Rhinolophus ferrumequinum: one gene and its partner. Each later gene encodes a partner of the first gene's protein in a complex. Links are inferred from orthologs where the notes say so. Each region holds a gene or a part of one and is shown in the gene's direction. Other genes may lie near its edges.

Region 1 (7,934 bases):
CCAGTGCACATTGGAGCCGTAAGGCACTGGCATGTGGCAGAGAACTGAGTGTCTGCTACCAGGACTGTCTTGTTCTCTGGGCCTTGCGTGTAATAAATGCTCTAGCAGATTGAAGGATGAAGGTTGGTATGTTGCCAGAGCAAAGCTGGGTCCAAAATATCAAGGTTCAAATACCCTTGGGATCAAACAGTAGGGTGAAAACATTAATTTTCTGACCACTCACACTGGCCCCCACACCCATCCTGGGAAATTCCTGAGGACAGAGATCCTGCTATGTCAGTGCCTGGCACACAGGAGCCACTCAACTCCCACCCTTTCATCCCAATGTGGTCCTTTAAAAGTCAGTCACTCACCAGAAGGCCATTACAAAGAAAAATGGAGAATGAGTAATGGTGAGGATGTGGCATTCACCACGGGGGAAGTGGAGACCGGAAGGTGGGCATGATTTGCTAAAGCTGATCACCTGTCTACCTTATGACTTAGCAATTCCATTCCTTGGTATATGCCCGAGAAATGAGTGCATATATATATATCCATCAAAAGATGTATATAAGAATGTTTACAGAATTATTCGTTTCTTTTTAATATATATTTTTAAATTTTATTGGGTAACTGTGTATTTTCCAGGAACTCCGAGTCAAGTCATTGTCCTTCAATCCAGTTGTGGAGGGCGCAGCTCAGCTCCAGTCCAGTCGTCGTTTTCAACCTAGTTGCAGGGGGCGCAGCCCACCATCCCATGCGGGAATTGAACTGGTGACCTTGTTGTTAAGAGCTCACGTTCCAACCGAGCCATCCGGCTGCCCACTGGCAGCTCAGTGGCAGCTCGTTGTCTTCAATCTAGTTGTGGAGGGCGCAGCTCACCGGCCCATGTGGGAATCGAACTGGCAACCCTGTTAAGAGCTCGCGCTCTAACCAACTGAGCCATCCGGCCGCCCAGAAGAATTATTCTTAATAGCCCCAAACAGAAAACTACCGAAATGCCCATCAACATTGGAACAAATGAAGTGTGATCTGTTCATACAATGGAAAAGAGCACAGCTATGAGGATGGACAAACCACTGATCACGTAAGAACGTGGACCTGTCTCATACCACCAAGCTGAATGAAAGAAGCCAGGTACTAAGTGAAATGAGTCAGACTGAGAAAGACTAATACCATATGCTCTCACTTATATGTGGAATCTAAAGAACAGAATAAACGAGCAAACGAAACAGAAATAGACTCAGAGATACAGAGGAAAACCTGATGGTTGCTAGATGGGAGGGAGTAGGGATGGGGGAGAAGCTGAAGGGATTAGGAAGTACAGACTGGTAGTCAGAAAATAGTCACGGGGATGTGAAATACAGTGTGGGGAATGTAGTCAGGAATGTTGTAAAGATCATGTAAGGTGCCAGATGGGCACTGGACTTACCATGGGGGTCACGTCATAGACATGTAGATGCCTGACCAATGCGCTATACACCTGAAGCTGAACTAGAATAATACTGAATGTCAACTAGAACTAACTATATAGGTATATATAGTCACGGGATGTGAAGTACAACATAGGGAAGATACTAGATGGTATTGTAACAGCTACGTACGGTGTCAGACGGGTAGTCGATTGGGGAGGATTATCACTTTGTGGGGTGTAAATGTCTAACTATTGCATTGTTTTGCACACCTGAAACTAATAAAAAAATATATTTAAAAAAGTCAGGTACAAAAATGTATGGATGCACTCGTATGAAGTTTCAAACCAGACGAAACTAACCTATGTTGTTACAAGTCGAGAGAGGGGTTACCCTTGCGGTAGGGAGGGTGGACCTGAAGGGAGCTTTCCAGAGAGGCCACCTGGAAGAAGACTGAAGTGCCAGGCATGAGTGAAGACGCCGTCTTGGATGTCCATCCCAGTAGAGCTTTCAGATGACTCAGTACCAGCCACTGTCTGACCTCAAGAACCACTTAGCTGAGCACAGTCAATCACAGGACCATGAAAGATGACACTAAATTGTCATATTAAGCCACTAAGTTTTCGGGTATTTGTTACACAGCAATAGATAATTGGAACACCCAGAAAAGGTGGTGGTGGCCCTTTTAAGGCCTGACACCCCCACTCCCACATCCCCAGTACAACAAAATCAACACCAGCCAATCAGACTTTCAGTCCCTTTAATTAGGTGCTCTGAGGAGAAGGCAGAATGGCAGGCAGGGGGTGGAGGAGGTGGTGTTTCTTGAGCCCCACTCAGCAACCAGTCAGTCCTCATCCTCCGGCAGCTGGATCTTGCTGGGGTCAAAGCAGTTGGATTCCATGATGGGGAGACCATTGGCCTCTCGGTATTTCACAAGCCTCTCAGCTTCCCGGCGGGCCCACTCCTGCATCCTGGAGGCAGCAGCGTGCGAGGGAGACATGAGGGAGCCTCACTGGACACCAATCCCCACCTTAGCTCCCCATTCCTCAATGGGGTAGGACAGGATTCCTGGCAGAATCCCCTTCAACCTCCACCCCTGCCTCTGCCCACACCCATCCCATTCTCTTAGACACCCCATGGACCTGTAGTCAGGCAGATAAGCCACAAAGGTGCTGCCAAGGACCAAGACGATGGAGAAGCCAAAGAAGAAGACGACGCGCATGTTCCAGACGTCCACAACAGGATCCTTGTCGTAGCCATGGGAGTCTGGGTTCTGCGGAAGGAGAAATCATTGAGGTTTCCTGCTGCTCCACAAAGCCTTATGCTGGCCCTGTATAAGCTGGCTTCTAATTGGACCAATCTCCTCTCCATCCCTAAATTCCTCTCATTCTGTTCTTGGGACTTGTCAAGCCCTTCCCACCACAGGACCTTTGCACTAGTTGTTCCCTCTGCCTGGAAAGCCTTTCCCCCCAGATTTCATGGCTGGATCTGCCTCTTCATTCCAAGTTTTGGCTTCATCATCACTTCCTTTAGGAGGCATTCCCTAGTCACCTTGTCTATTAAGTTGAACTATGGGAAATTGCCATTTTCATAGGTCAAAAATGGTTGAATATTGGCAATTTCCTATGGTTCAACCTAATAAAATTACTCCCTAACCCCAAGTCACTCTCAATCCACTTATCTTGCTTAACATTCTTTCTAGCATTTATTAGTTTATCAAAGTAGCATGCTCCTAGATCGCCTGTATCACATTATGTTATATGATCCATTACATACTCTACATTACTATTGTCAAATATTTTACATATTTATTTTCTGTGTTCTCCACTATCATATAAGAGCAAGGGCTTTATATGATTTCCACGCTGCTGAACCCCTAGGGCCCTGAACTGTGCCTGGCACGCAGGAGGCCCTCAATACATATTTACAGAATGAATGAATGAATGAGTATCCTATATATCCAAGCCCCTCAATCAGAGGTTAGTATCGATGAATTACCTCTTATGTGCCAGGCCTTTTCACATATACAAACTTCACAATATCCCAGTGAGATGGAAAGTGGCAATAATAAACACCTTCTAATGCTGAGTACTTACTAAGTGCCAGATGCTGTTCGGAGCATTTTAACTCATTTAATTACACAAGGCAGGTGTAATATTTTATTTTTTTAGAAGGTGTCCTAATACTTTGCCCATTTTACAAAGAAACTGAGGCACCAAGGGGTTAAGTTACTTGCCCAAGGTCACTCAGGTGAGTAACTGCCAGTGCCTGTATTCTAGCCCAGGTATTCTGATTTCAGAGGCTCTGCTATCAAGAGAGCACAACAGACGTGGTAGATCCAAGTTCAAATACCGGTTCTGACACACATTCAGTTATGCGAACTTGGGCAAGCCACTCCCCATCTCTGTGCTTCAATTTTCTCGTCTGTTCAATGGGTTTAGTAAGAGTACCTACTTCGAAATAGGGTTGTTTTGAGGATTTAGATGAATTAATGTATGTCAAGTGTTTAGAACACTGACACCAAAAAAAGTCGTACCAGTGTTTAGTATTATTATTATACTGTATTGCTTCTAAGTGTTTTGAGCACTGCCCATTTCAGGTTTGGTACTTGTTTGCAACATAAGGCCAATCTAATCTCTGGCCCTGAACAGAAGATATCACCAGACAAAGGAGGAAAAGAAACTAGGCAAAATTCCCAAGTCTTCAAGGATTTCACCAGCTGCACAATCCTCAGCCGCCTAGCAACGTCCTCTATGGCGCCCCATCCGCTGGTCCCCGACTGACCCTTTTGGCGTCCCGTTTCCCCTCCCTCTCACCTTCTCATAGAGGTTTTCGTCCTCTACATCTGGGTCCTCCTGCCAGCGCATAGTAGGTTCTGGTGCCCGCTTTCCCACCACAGCGGACGGGGCGATCACAGCCCTGGAGGAGCTGGATTCCCAGCGAAGCCAAGCAGCCGGGCGCCCTCGCGTCGCGGCTGCTGCCAAAAGGCGGCGAGCGCACAAACCTAACAGCCCAGCCGCCATGACAGGTGGTTCTGCAGGCTCTCAGGGGCGGGGACGGAAGTGCGACTCTGCGCAGCTGCAGTTGACCCCAGCGCGATAGTTGTCGCTCTGCCCCCACCGCACTAAATAGGCCCCGAGTCTGGATTTTTTTCAAGCGAGTGAGGCGCTGAGCAGCCCTCTTTGTCTCCCTCTGTCATGGCCTTAAGGGAGCAACCATTTTCCAATCCTCTCGATGGAGCTATGGCAGTTCTGCCTGAGTGGTCAGCTCCTACCCTTGCTGAGAAGAAAGCAGTGACATTTGGGTGGATGCAGTTCCCAGCCAAACGCACAGGAACTTCCCTTGCCCTCTTGGAGAAGAGGCGGAGCTTCCGTTTGTCTTTCATCTTCGAAGGAAGCCAAGCTTCTAAAAAGCGGGCCTCGCCAGATTGGCCAATAGCTACTCCTTTTCTCGACTTGTGGGCGTTCGCACAGGGAATGGGGAGGTAGCAGATGCTGGCCAATCAGAGCGGGTCGGGGCTGGCCGATGGCATACGGTGACCAATAGACGCGACCAGCCTGAGCGCGCTCCCTCGGTAGGTGGATGGTGGTCGAAGCGCCGGTTCCCTGCTCTTGGTCGCCATTTTGTGCTGCTGATTGCGGCCGACGGGGAGTAGGTGGCAGTTAGTTTTCCGGGGAGGGCAGTGCGATTGGCGCTTCTCCCCTCCTCCCTCCCCCGCCTTTCAGTTTCCAGCCTCGGACTTGGTTGTCGCGCGGACCGGCTCCAGCTGAGTTGGGAGGGTTGGTGGCGGTGGCAGCGGGCCGAGGTGATGTCAGGGAGCCCTCCCTTGACAGCCCGGGCCGAAAAGGTGAGCGTCGACGCTGGTCGTGGGGGCGGAGGTAAGGGGCTGGGGGCGGGGGGTGGTGCGTAGAAGAGGAGAGAGGGCGGACTGCGGGCTGCAACTGAGGGATGCGTGCACTGTCTGAGCCCGGGATGGGTTGTCTTTTTAAAAAAAATTTTCCCCCTTTTGAGAGCCGTGGCGCGTGCGCGATCGGGACACTGGATAGGTGCACGCGGGTTGGGGGAAGGGAGGGACGGATGGGAGTGGGATACTGTGGCTTACTGTGCCTGAGACACCGAATTTTATCCGTGGGGAGGCGAGTGTCTGCGGCTATGGTTTTTATCCACAGGAGAGGGGCTGTGCTGTCTGTTCTGTGTGACTTTGTTACTTTCCTGTTCGTGGGGGTGTTCTGTGGCTCGGGTCCTTAGTCTTGGAAGGAGGAGTAAGAACGTTTGTATGACCCTGGTCTTTATCCTTGGAGTGTGTGTCTAACTCTGGTCCCTATCCATGGGGAGAGGTCCTTATCCATAGGGAGTCTTCTTGCGACTGGCCCTAACCGACTTAACTGGGTAGGGAGGGAATGCAAGGAATGTGTATGACTTATTGCCCGTTCTTTGGGAAGGGGGTTCCTATCTGTGATTCTGACGTTCATCTATTGAAAAGGGGCTTCGGGGTGTGTTTATGACCCATACTTATTGTGGGTTCCTGTCTGTGATTTTGGCCCAGAGTTATTTGGGGCGCGTGTCTGTGACTTTGGTCCCTATCTGTTGTGGATACCAATGTGTGACTGGCCCCTTTGCCAGAGTCTACTGAGGGTTTTGTATCAGCTGTTATCCGCTGGGGCCCCTGGTTGTTCTAACTCTTACCCATCTGGGAGCAGGTAACTCTGGTTCCCTGTAGCTTGAGGAGGAAGAGAAAATTGGTGTGTGTGTATAAACGGAGGAAAGGTGTGGTGGTAACTTAGTGTGGGGCAGATGCTGTTGTTGCCTGGCCTTGCCTGATTCCTGTTCAGAGGGCGAGACCTGAGGATTCTGGGATACTGTGTGGCGACCCCTGGCCAAGTCATGTGGCTTGGGAATTCCTTAGTTCTCATGGTAGCCCTGAGGGTTAGGTGAAATGACTGCCCTTGCATCCCAACGGAATAGGACAATGGTTTGGAAAAGCCTCTGAAAGGGCTCCTTTTGCTCTGGGGAGAAAGCTGCCTTGGGACCTGGCTGCTCATAAGAGACAGGGTTCAGGGCTGAGCCAGTTGCCGTGTGAGGCCCAAAGCTGTGTTGGCCAGGAGCCCAGGGAGGCGGCAGCTGTCTCATTGCCAAGTTAGCCCCTTCACCCCCTAAGCCTTTCATGGTCTCCTGCTGTCTTATAGGGGGCAGCCAGCATCTTGTTGGGAGGATGAAATCACACCTTGGGGGTCCATGGAAGGAGACTGGTGGGTGCCTGGGACCCTTTTATGAAGTCTTTCCTCTATGCCTAATGTGCCCAATCTGGAACAAGTCATTCAGCACCGAGAACTCCCCCTGGGCAGGTAGCTCCGGGCTTGAACTTGTCTACCAGTTTCAGATGGCAACGCCCTGATCACAGAATGGGTGGCACCACCAGTTCTCTCTGCAAGATGCTCCCTGTCTGCTGAAGGCCTTGCTCTTTCTATTAGGGCAGTGGACTCTAATCTCACATTTGTATGGGAAGGAAAGGAGCTGGCCAAGTACTGGGGGGGTGGGCGGGGGGGGGAGGAGCAGCTGCCTTCCCACTCTGGTCCTCAGGAGCACTAGGAATTGGGAAACAACGTCCTCAGGCTAAGGGACAGCAGAGAGCCTTAACAAGGAGCGTTTCTCAAGGAGGCCCTCTCTGCCCCAACTGCTTTGACCCCTTTTTTCCTTCCTCTCTCCCCAGAGTCCCTGCAGGAGGCATCACCCAGGCTGGCAGATCATGGTGGCAGCTGTGGGGGTGGCTGGGAAGTGAAACGGAGCCAGCGGCTGAGGAGGGGCCCCAGCAGCCCCCGAAGGCCCTATCAGGATATGGAGTATGAAAGACGGTGAGTTACCCACTCCCACCCCCCTCAAGCAGCCGAGGCTTGTCCCCATCTCAGAACTGCTCCAGGAGGGTGCTAGGAAAGGGCTTCCAGGCAGAGCGAACAGTGCAGTAGATGATTGGTTTCTTTTCAGCAGACATTTACTTGGCACCTGTTGTGAGCCAGGACCTGTGTGCTAGGCTCTCGGAGAGCTGTGATGAAGGGGACAGATAAGATTGCAGCCTTCTCCTTACTCAGGGTCTCACAAGGCGGGCCACACAGTTTACAGGTGATTCCAAAACAGCTGGATGGGTGCCACGGCTGGTTGTGAGAGTGGGAAAGGATTAAAGAGAAAGGGGAGAATAGAGGCTGATGCCCAGGTTTCCAATTTGGGGGACCCTGGTAGGTATATGGTGCCATTCACCAAGGTCCAGACAGCTACTGCAAGAGGAGAGGCAGAGACGGGTAGTGGGTTGTAAGTGCCTGTGGATTCTCAGGAGAGGTGTGCACTATAGCTTTGGGTTTAAGGGATGGAAGGGAGTGGTACCTTCAGAGTTAGGAATTTGCCAGGCCAAGTGTGGGGCAAGCCAGGTCAGATAGTGGGAGATTTCAGGGGCAGGATGGGCTGAAGTGGGCGTGATGCTTGTCTTGGAATGGGACACTCTTGAGCACTTATTTTTAAATTCTGGTCGAACAAGAAACAGTTGGGACACTG
Region 2 (7,866 bases), on another chromosome or scaffold:
ATATCTGTGTTGTGTGTTTTTCAATATATCATTAAATTTTAAAGGGAATATAAAAGTTCATTTTGATGGGAGAAATATGATCACCTAAAAACTTCCCTTTTAACATACCATGAAACTGTAGAGATATCTCAGTTAAATTTGGTCATTTGGTCCTTTGTTCTTTGTACAAAATTAGCAAAAAGTGGTGTGAGGAGATATGTGGGAAGACTGCCTGGGACAGGTAAAAAGCTGCCTGGAGCACACTTAAATGTCTATAAACTGGCTTATCCTCTCAATGTGCAGAGTGGTCAGATCCCAAGAACTTGACTCACACTACCTGAAAGGGTTGCAAGACTGATGTGGCCAATAGTCTGTCAAGTTGTTCCTTGCATTGAGAATTGTGACTGCATTGAGAAGTGTCTATAAAACTCACATCAGTATGGTCAGTCCATTCTCTTGTTTCTGTGGGAATATAACTCACAAAACCTGAAGGTTGCTTTCTGAGTATGGAGTCAGACCAAGGAGAGTTAAGTGTGTTTCCAATGTAATGGCTTCATGCCATTAGTCATGGCCTTTTGTGACCATTTAGTCAACAAATGTTTGTTGAGACCCTGCTGTGCAGCCAGCAGTGTTATGGGCCATGGGAATAAAGCAATGAATAAAACAAAGTCCTTCCTCTCATGGTACTTACCTTATCATGGTATATAGGTGGTCTGGCTAACAGGATGGAAAAATATTGCGTTCTTGCTCTGTCCATACTAGAACTGGACACCTGTGTAATATTCCAGCTTCTTTCTTCTTAGACATTGTTTGGAAAGGTACTGACAGCATTTACTACTGTGAACTTAGATGTATGAATTCATTTGGGCCTGAATGTCCTTCCTTTTCTTTAAGTTTACTTGGATATCACTGCTCTCTGATGAGCTGATCTCACCACTTACCTTTGAAGACAACCTGACATTCTTTATTTACAGTCCTTGAGGGTCAATTATCTGTAACCCTAAGAACTGAATACATTCATATTTGATACATATATAAACAAGAGAGACAGTCTGGTGTGGGAAAAACAACACAAGCTTTGAAGCTGGCTTTGGTATGAATTCCTGCTCCATTAATACTTAGTTCCTAGTTCTACGTAATTTAGCAAGGTAGCAAACCTACTTTTATAGCTTTAAAAAAAAATAGTACAAGTAATATACGCATAAATTTTCATTAACATTCAAACTTGGTTTTATTACTTTAGGGGTTACTTTAGGGTTCATATTGTACGTCTTCAATAGATCACAGTGATAATGTATTCAATTGCCACTTCATGTATAGTATAGTTATACCACTTCGTGTATAGTATAATGATCTGACAATAATATACTTGCATTTCTCCTTTTCGGGACTTTGTATTATTGTTGTCATACATTTAATTTATACGTATATTATAAAGCTCACAATACATTGTTATTATATTTGTTTAAACAGTTAATAATCTTTTAACAAGATTTAAATACTAAGAAAAAAACTTACATATTTACCATGTACTAGTAGTTACCATTCCCTGCACTCTTTCTTTTTCCTACCTGATACCATTTCCCTCTCCCTGAAGGATGTCCTTTAACATTTCTTGTAGTAAAAATAGGTTGATGATGAGTTCCTTCAGATTTTATATCTTAAAAAGACATCTTTTGGCCTCCATTTTTGAAAGAAATTTTTACTAGGTATTCAATTCTCTGACTGCACTGACTTTTTTTCTTTCAGTCATTACAGATATTGATTTAACATTTTCTTGTTGTCATTGTTTCCAACAAGAATTTTGTTGTGATTTTTATTTTTTCCCTCTGTAGGTAACATGCCTTTATTCTCTGGAGAGTTTCTCTCTTTATCACCATTTTTGAGCAATATGATTTTGATGGGCCTTAATGTAATTTTCTTTATGTTTCTTCTGTCTGGAGTTCCTCGAGTTTCTTAGATCTATGAGTTTATAGTTTTTCTCAAAGCTGGAAAATTTTTCAATCATTATTTCTTCAAATGTTTTTTTCCTGATCCCTATCCCTTACTTTCCAGAACTCTATTGCACATATATTAGGAAGCTTGAAGTTGTCCTACAGCTCATTGCTTTTCTATTTCTAAAATTTTTAAATTTCTCTGTGTGTTTCATTTTGTATAGTTCTTTCATTGCATGTTTAAGTTCACAAATCCTTCCTTCTGTCATGTCTAATTTTCCATTAATCCAACCCAGTGTATTTTTTCATTTCAGGCATTATAGTTTTTATCTCTAGAAATTCAGTTTCATTCTTTAAATATTTTTCATGTGTCCACTTAACTTTTTGAACACATAGAATACAGTTATAATAACTGTTTAATGTGCTTATTTTAACATCCATAGCAGTACTTGGTGGGTTTCAATGGACTGATTGATTTTCCTTATTATGGGTCATATTTTCCTACTTCTTTGCATGCCTGGTAAATTGGACATCACTCATTGTGAATTTTGTCTTGCTGGGTGCTGGATATTTTTGTATTCCTGTAAATACTCTTGAGTGTTTTCGGGAGGAGACGTGGAGATGCAGTTAAGTTTACATGGAAACAGTTTTATCCTTTCAGATATTGTATTTAAGATTTGTTCGGCAGTACCAGCGCAGTGCTCCACCTAGAGCTAATTATTTTCAACTGCTTAGACAGTACCCTTCTGAGTTATCTACCCAATGCCCCAGGAATTGTGCAGTTTTCCCAGTCTGGCCAGAAGGAATAGGCACTATTCCGGGCTCTGTGTGAGTACCAGGCACTGCGCTATTCCTTCCAATGTTTTTCCGTTGGTTCTTTCTTCAATTTAGGGAACAGGTCTTCTATTTTGTATTCCCCAGAGTCTGGAGCATTGCTCTCAAATTTTGCCTAATCAATATCATCCTCATAAATGTGAAACAGGAGAAGGTTCTTCCTGGGATAAGTGCTCCTCCTTTGTACTCCCACAACTGCCTGTAACTCCTCTATCGTAGAAATTATTATATCATCTTGAAATTGCATATCTGATAGACTTTATGGGGCAGAGACTACGTTTGTCTTGTTCAATGCCATTTCCCCAGTATACAGCACAGGAGGAGTACAACAAGGAATTATGAAATATGAATTCTGAATTCTGCTTCCAAACTGCTTGGTGAGAAAGTGGGTCTTTAAACAAGTCGCAGAGCCGCAGACCTCTAGAACAGGAAATGTTAAATAGACCAGGCCTCAGGAGTTCATTTGACTGTAAGGTTATAATCTTATCCTGTCAGGCGGGTTGGGCCTTGACCCTTGTAAGCCAACTAAGCGGGAGCATTGTGTGGGATATGTTTGTAAAGGGTTCAGACTAGTCTAAAGGTCTCGGGGCATATTTAAATTCTGTGCAGGCTTTTCCTTCCTTCCACATATGTTTTAATGTCTACTGATGCTGGCACTGGAGCTGAAAGCCTTCATCCAGTATAGAGTTGCAAGAGACACTGTTCACATGATATTTTGTGTTATTGTCTAGGAGGCATTTGATATCATGTACATGCAGACAGCACGACCAGGGTTCCATCTCAGCCTGCTACATAAAGATCAATGAAAGGCAACTCTATTCTTTATTTTCTTTTGACTATCTGGCCACGTACATCTTTCTAACCTTGCTTTAAACCAAATTCAACAAACATCTTAGAATTCCTACTCTGTGCCAGGCTTTCCAGTTACCATTGGGACTTATCATTGGATCAGCCCTTAAACAACAGAAGCAGCACTCCCAGAGTGGCCTAAGGATGGGACAATATTCAGTTTTTGAGCCCTGGATCTCCCTCTTTACAAATCTTTCTCTCCATCTTCTGCCATCACATTTATAGTACAGCTCATCTTATCCCTGAGCACGAACAAAAGTGAGACGAAACAAATTAAGAATAGTGTGGGAAGTGAATTCATTCCATTAATTGATTGATTCATTCATCAGTTAAATATTAATTTTAAGCACCTACTATGTGTCAGACACCAGGCTGAATGTTGGTAGTATAAGGACTCGCAGAGACAGCCTTTGTCCTTAAAGAAGTCACAGTCCTGTGTTAGAGGCAGGCAAGTGAAGAAACTGTTACAGTAATGTGAGTGAGGTAGAAGGTAGAAGAATACATAAGGCCAATATCTAATTTCTTGAGAAGACATAAATTCTTGGAAATGGTGTTTATCTTTCACAGTTCCTAACAACATAATTTGTATAAGGTGAGCAGTCCGTAAAGAGTCAAAAAACCTGGATTCTCATCCCAGCTTTGTTTTTGACCAGCTGTGTGTCCTTTGACAGTCATTTCAGCTTTCTGACTCTCAGTTTCCCATCTGTAAAGTTAAACTGTTGATACCAGTCCTCCAATAGACTGGGTTATTGTAAAGATCAATGGTCACGAGAGTGACTTTTTAATTAATTGTAAAGACCTGTGCAACATAAAATATGCAATCATAAGTTATATTCTTAAATGTTTTTTGAATTTTAAAACAGAACTTGTTCAGCACTAACGTTTTCTTTAAAAAAAAAAAAAGAGAAGAAAAAAAAACCGAAAAGCAGACCAGTCGGTAAAAGGTCCTTCATTGTAGTCACCTTCACTGTTTAAAGCACGTCTGGCTTCACTTTTTCAACACTCCAGGAAGATATTTATTACTATCCCTATTAGACAAATGAGAGAAGTGAGTGCCAAAGAATTTATCCAAGAGCACAACCTCTTCAAAACCCAAGCCTGGGCCACCTCCCAACGTCTTTAAACGTCAACAAAAGTCAAAAAGACCCACCCCCCGGCCGCAGGGGGCATCGTTTCTCCGGAAGCCCAGCGTCCCCAGGCGCAGCGCTGGACGAGACTTCAATTCCGCCCGATGACGCATGCGGCCCCACCCCCGACCATCCACCTCTCGCGGGATCTCTCGGGAGGACGGATGGGGTCAGGTCCCATCATGGCGGCTGAAGAGGCGGATGTGGATATCGAAGGGGACGTGGTGGCCGCGGCAGCACAGCCAGGGTGAGGCACAGGGACCGGGTCTCGCCGGGACGCGGAGGGGGGCGGGTGCGAGGAGAGTGCCGCAGAATGGCGGCGCGTCGGTCAAGGGCCAGGGGAGCGGAAGAAAACCGCGGCGCCAGGGTCTCCTAGCGGCCGGTGAGGGGCCGCGCCCATCGGGCCAGCCGGCCACTCCTGAGCCCAGCGGGCGGGGACCCCGAGCGAGTGTCGGACGGCTGTCGCACCTTTTATCTGGATGCCGTGAGGGCTCCGAGTTCGCCTAGCGCAAGGCACTCTTCCGAACAATTCCTTCTGCCACTCCCTCCACCCCCCAATTTCGCCAGAATCCTCCTCCTCACCCCCGCCCGACAGTAACTCCGACAAGGGCGGCCCCTGGACGAGATCCGAGGTCAGGGATCCTTGTTCCTTGCTTGGCAAGCCGTGTGACCTTGGGCGTTTCAGTCCGACTGGCCGCAGGTTTCCTCTTCCACGTAGGGATAGTTGTGAAAAAGTTCCTGAGAGGCAGCTTGACTTAAGGGAAAGGGGTAGGACTTCGGAGCTGGACAGCTCGGGGTTCTCCTCCTGCATTGGCGGGCCCTGCCAGTGTCTAGCAGTGTGACCTCAGGCCAGACGTTAAACTTGTCTCCGCCTCAGACAGCTCATGTGTAAACGGGCAAATCATGAAATGTACCTTGTACGAGTCCGGTGAGGATCCAATGAAATATAATTGTTGGGTGTGTTTTAGCATATGTTAGGTGCTCGGTAACTGTCGTGTTCTTGACTGTTCTGTTACCCTCGAGGATGGTATGGTGAGAACTCAGTGAGGGGTCACGATGAATTTAACACCAATTTCTGCATAATAGGCCAGTGTCGTTTTAAACGGCACCATCCAGCTTGAGATCTAACCCTTTGACTCTTTGCTGTCTGAAATAGAAATTGATGCATACCATTTTAAAAATGTACCTCCAGAGTCTCCCTTTAATAGTGGAAGAGGCCAAGACGGATGAGGAATCAAAAGACCTCCATACTAAACTCAGCCAGCTGTGCTGCTCATAACTGGGAACAACTTCATTAGAACTCCATCTACTGTGTTGAACCATGTGAAAGCGCCAGTCTTAGAACGTTTTGACCTGTAAAATGGCAATTTCATATGATCCAAGCTAACATTGGGGTTTCTGTAAATTGTGGACAACAGTACTGACCCTGCCCATGAGGGACTAACATAAGAGGTTTAAAGTTTTTGTGAATTCTAAAGCATTGGAAACATGTGCGGAGTAATTAAATTCATAGTTATTCTCTCCCAAATCGTTAGGCAAATCAGTCCAAAGCTCTACAGATGAGTAGGGAACCTTTAATAACCATCATTGTTCACATTAGTAGATGAAATTAATCTTTTTTTTTCTTTTTTCCGCCACCCCCCTCCCTCTCCGGTTCAAGCCGTGGTTTCTCGGTCTAGCTGTGTAGGACGCAGCTATGTTGCCAACCCAAATCTCTTTTCCTGAGCTTCGGATCTGTTTATCCAACACTCCGAAACTATATGCTCTTGGTGGTTCCACAAGCCCCTCAGTCTGAGCTTAGAAATTTTCTCCACCAAACGTGCCTCTCTAGGTTCCCAGTTCAATAAATGGCGCCAACTACTCAGTCACACAAGGCACAGACCTACATGTACACTTTTCCTTGACTTTTTCCTTCTACTCTTTCTGTCCTATCAGTTATTAAGGGTCTGTTGACTCTAAGTATACTCTCAGATGTGTTCACTTCTTCCTGTTGCTTGTGCCCTTGGTCTAAATTACTGTCACCTTTTTCTAGTATTTATATAATCACTCCTTCATAACTGTTCCTTGTCTCTTTGGCCCCTTCTATACTTCCCTGAAGTTAGAGCCGCCTTTCTTACATCCGTCTCTGATTGTGTTATTCCTTTCAATTCCCAATTGACTTCTTGATAAAACATTCATTCCTTAACTCCTAGAGATCTGTGTGATCCATGCCTCACCTACTTCAGTCATTCAATCATTCAACAAATATTGATTGAGCACCTTTTGTATACCAAGCAGTTACCAAAACTTAAACCCTTGCTCTAATAGAACCAAACATTCTTTATTAGGTAAGACAGACAATAAACCTCCTATATATATTTCAAATGGAGATAAGTGGGAAAAGAAAAAGGAGGGAAGGTGGATGGCTCCTCAGCTTTATCCCTCGCACTTACCCAGGGAAAAGTATAAGGTCTGAAAGTACAGGCCCTCTGGTCAGTGTGGATATTGTGTAAGAACTGGATTTGAAAAAGAGAGAAGCAACAGAATTGGCAACAAATTGAATGTGCATTGTGAGGAAATAAGGACAGGCTCAGATTTCTGGCTTGGGCTTTTAAGGGGATGAAGATGCCATAGACTGAGATAGGGAACGATGGAAGAGGAGCATATTTGAGAGGAAAGTGAGCTCAGGTTTAAACACATTAATTGGTGGTACCTGTGGATGTCCAGGTAGGTGTCTTGATGCATACACCAGCGGTGTGGATGTTGCTAATTCTTACTGAGGAATACTATGTAAAAAGATTTCTGAAGTAAACTTGAAGTGATTCTAGTCCCACCTCCTGCACCCTTGGCAGGTCTAGTTAGTTAAACAAAGGTTTCCTTCTGCTGATATGAGTCTAAGAATCCTTTATTTTGCGTTCCTGGTAGATCCTGTCAAGTCAGAATTGACATTTGAATTAAAACCTTTTTGCCATCAACAGTTGAGAAACATTATTGCTTTTAGTTTATTGTAGATAATCTGTTAATCCCATAATTTATTATAACCACTGTTGGACTAATTGAAGGTTCAAAAATATAAAGCGGTATATAGGTTTTTGTAGTCTTAAGAGGTACAAAATTCTCACCACTAGAGTAGGTCTGGGAAAAGTCTACAACTTAACTAGGAA

The links.
Region 2: RBM10 (region 1) and MYSM1 share a complex: the UniProt entries of both Homo sapiens proteins name them as parts of the large chromatin remodeling complex. The link is inferred for Rhinolophus ferrumequinum from reciprocal best matches to the Homo sapiens genes RBM10 and MYSM1.

Annotation. Positions count from the first base shown.
Region 1 is NC_046284.1:86,743,172-86,751,105, reverse strand, and holds the start of RBM10 (RNA-binding protein 10), read left to right. Parts: upstream 1-4,886; 5' UTR 4,887-5,199; coding exon 5,200-5,269; intron 5,270-7,101; coding exon 7,102-7,243; intron 7,244-7,934. Other genes in the region: NDUFB11 (NADH dehydrogenase [ubiquinone] 1 beta subcomplex subunit 11, mitochondrial), read right to left, coding at 2,236-2,362, 2,534-2,664, 4,208-4,414. UniProt on the Homo sapiens protein: Binds to ssRNA containing the consensus sequence 5'-AGGUAA-3'. May be involved in post-transcriptional processing, most probably in mRNA splicing. Binds to RNA homopolymers, with a preference for poly(G) and poly(U) and little for poly(A).
Region 2 is NC_046292.1:42,464,435-42,472,300, reverse strand, and holds the start of MYSM1 (deubiquitinase MYSM1), read left to right. Parts: upstream 1-4,691; 5' UTR 4,692-4,827; coding exon 4,828-4,970; intron 4,971-7,866. UniProt on the Homo sapiens protein: Metalloprotease with deubiquitinase activity that plays important regulator roles in hematopoietic stem cell function, blood cell production and immune response.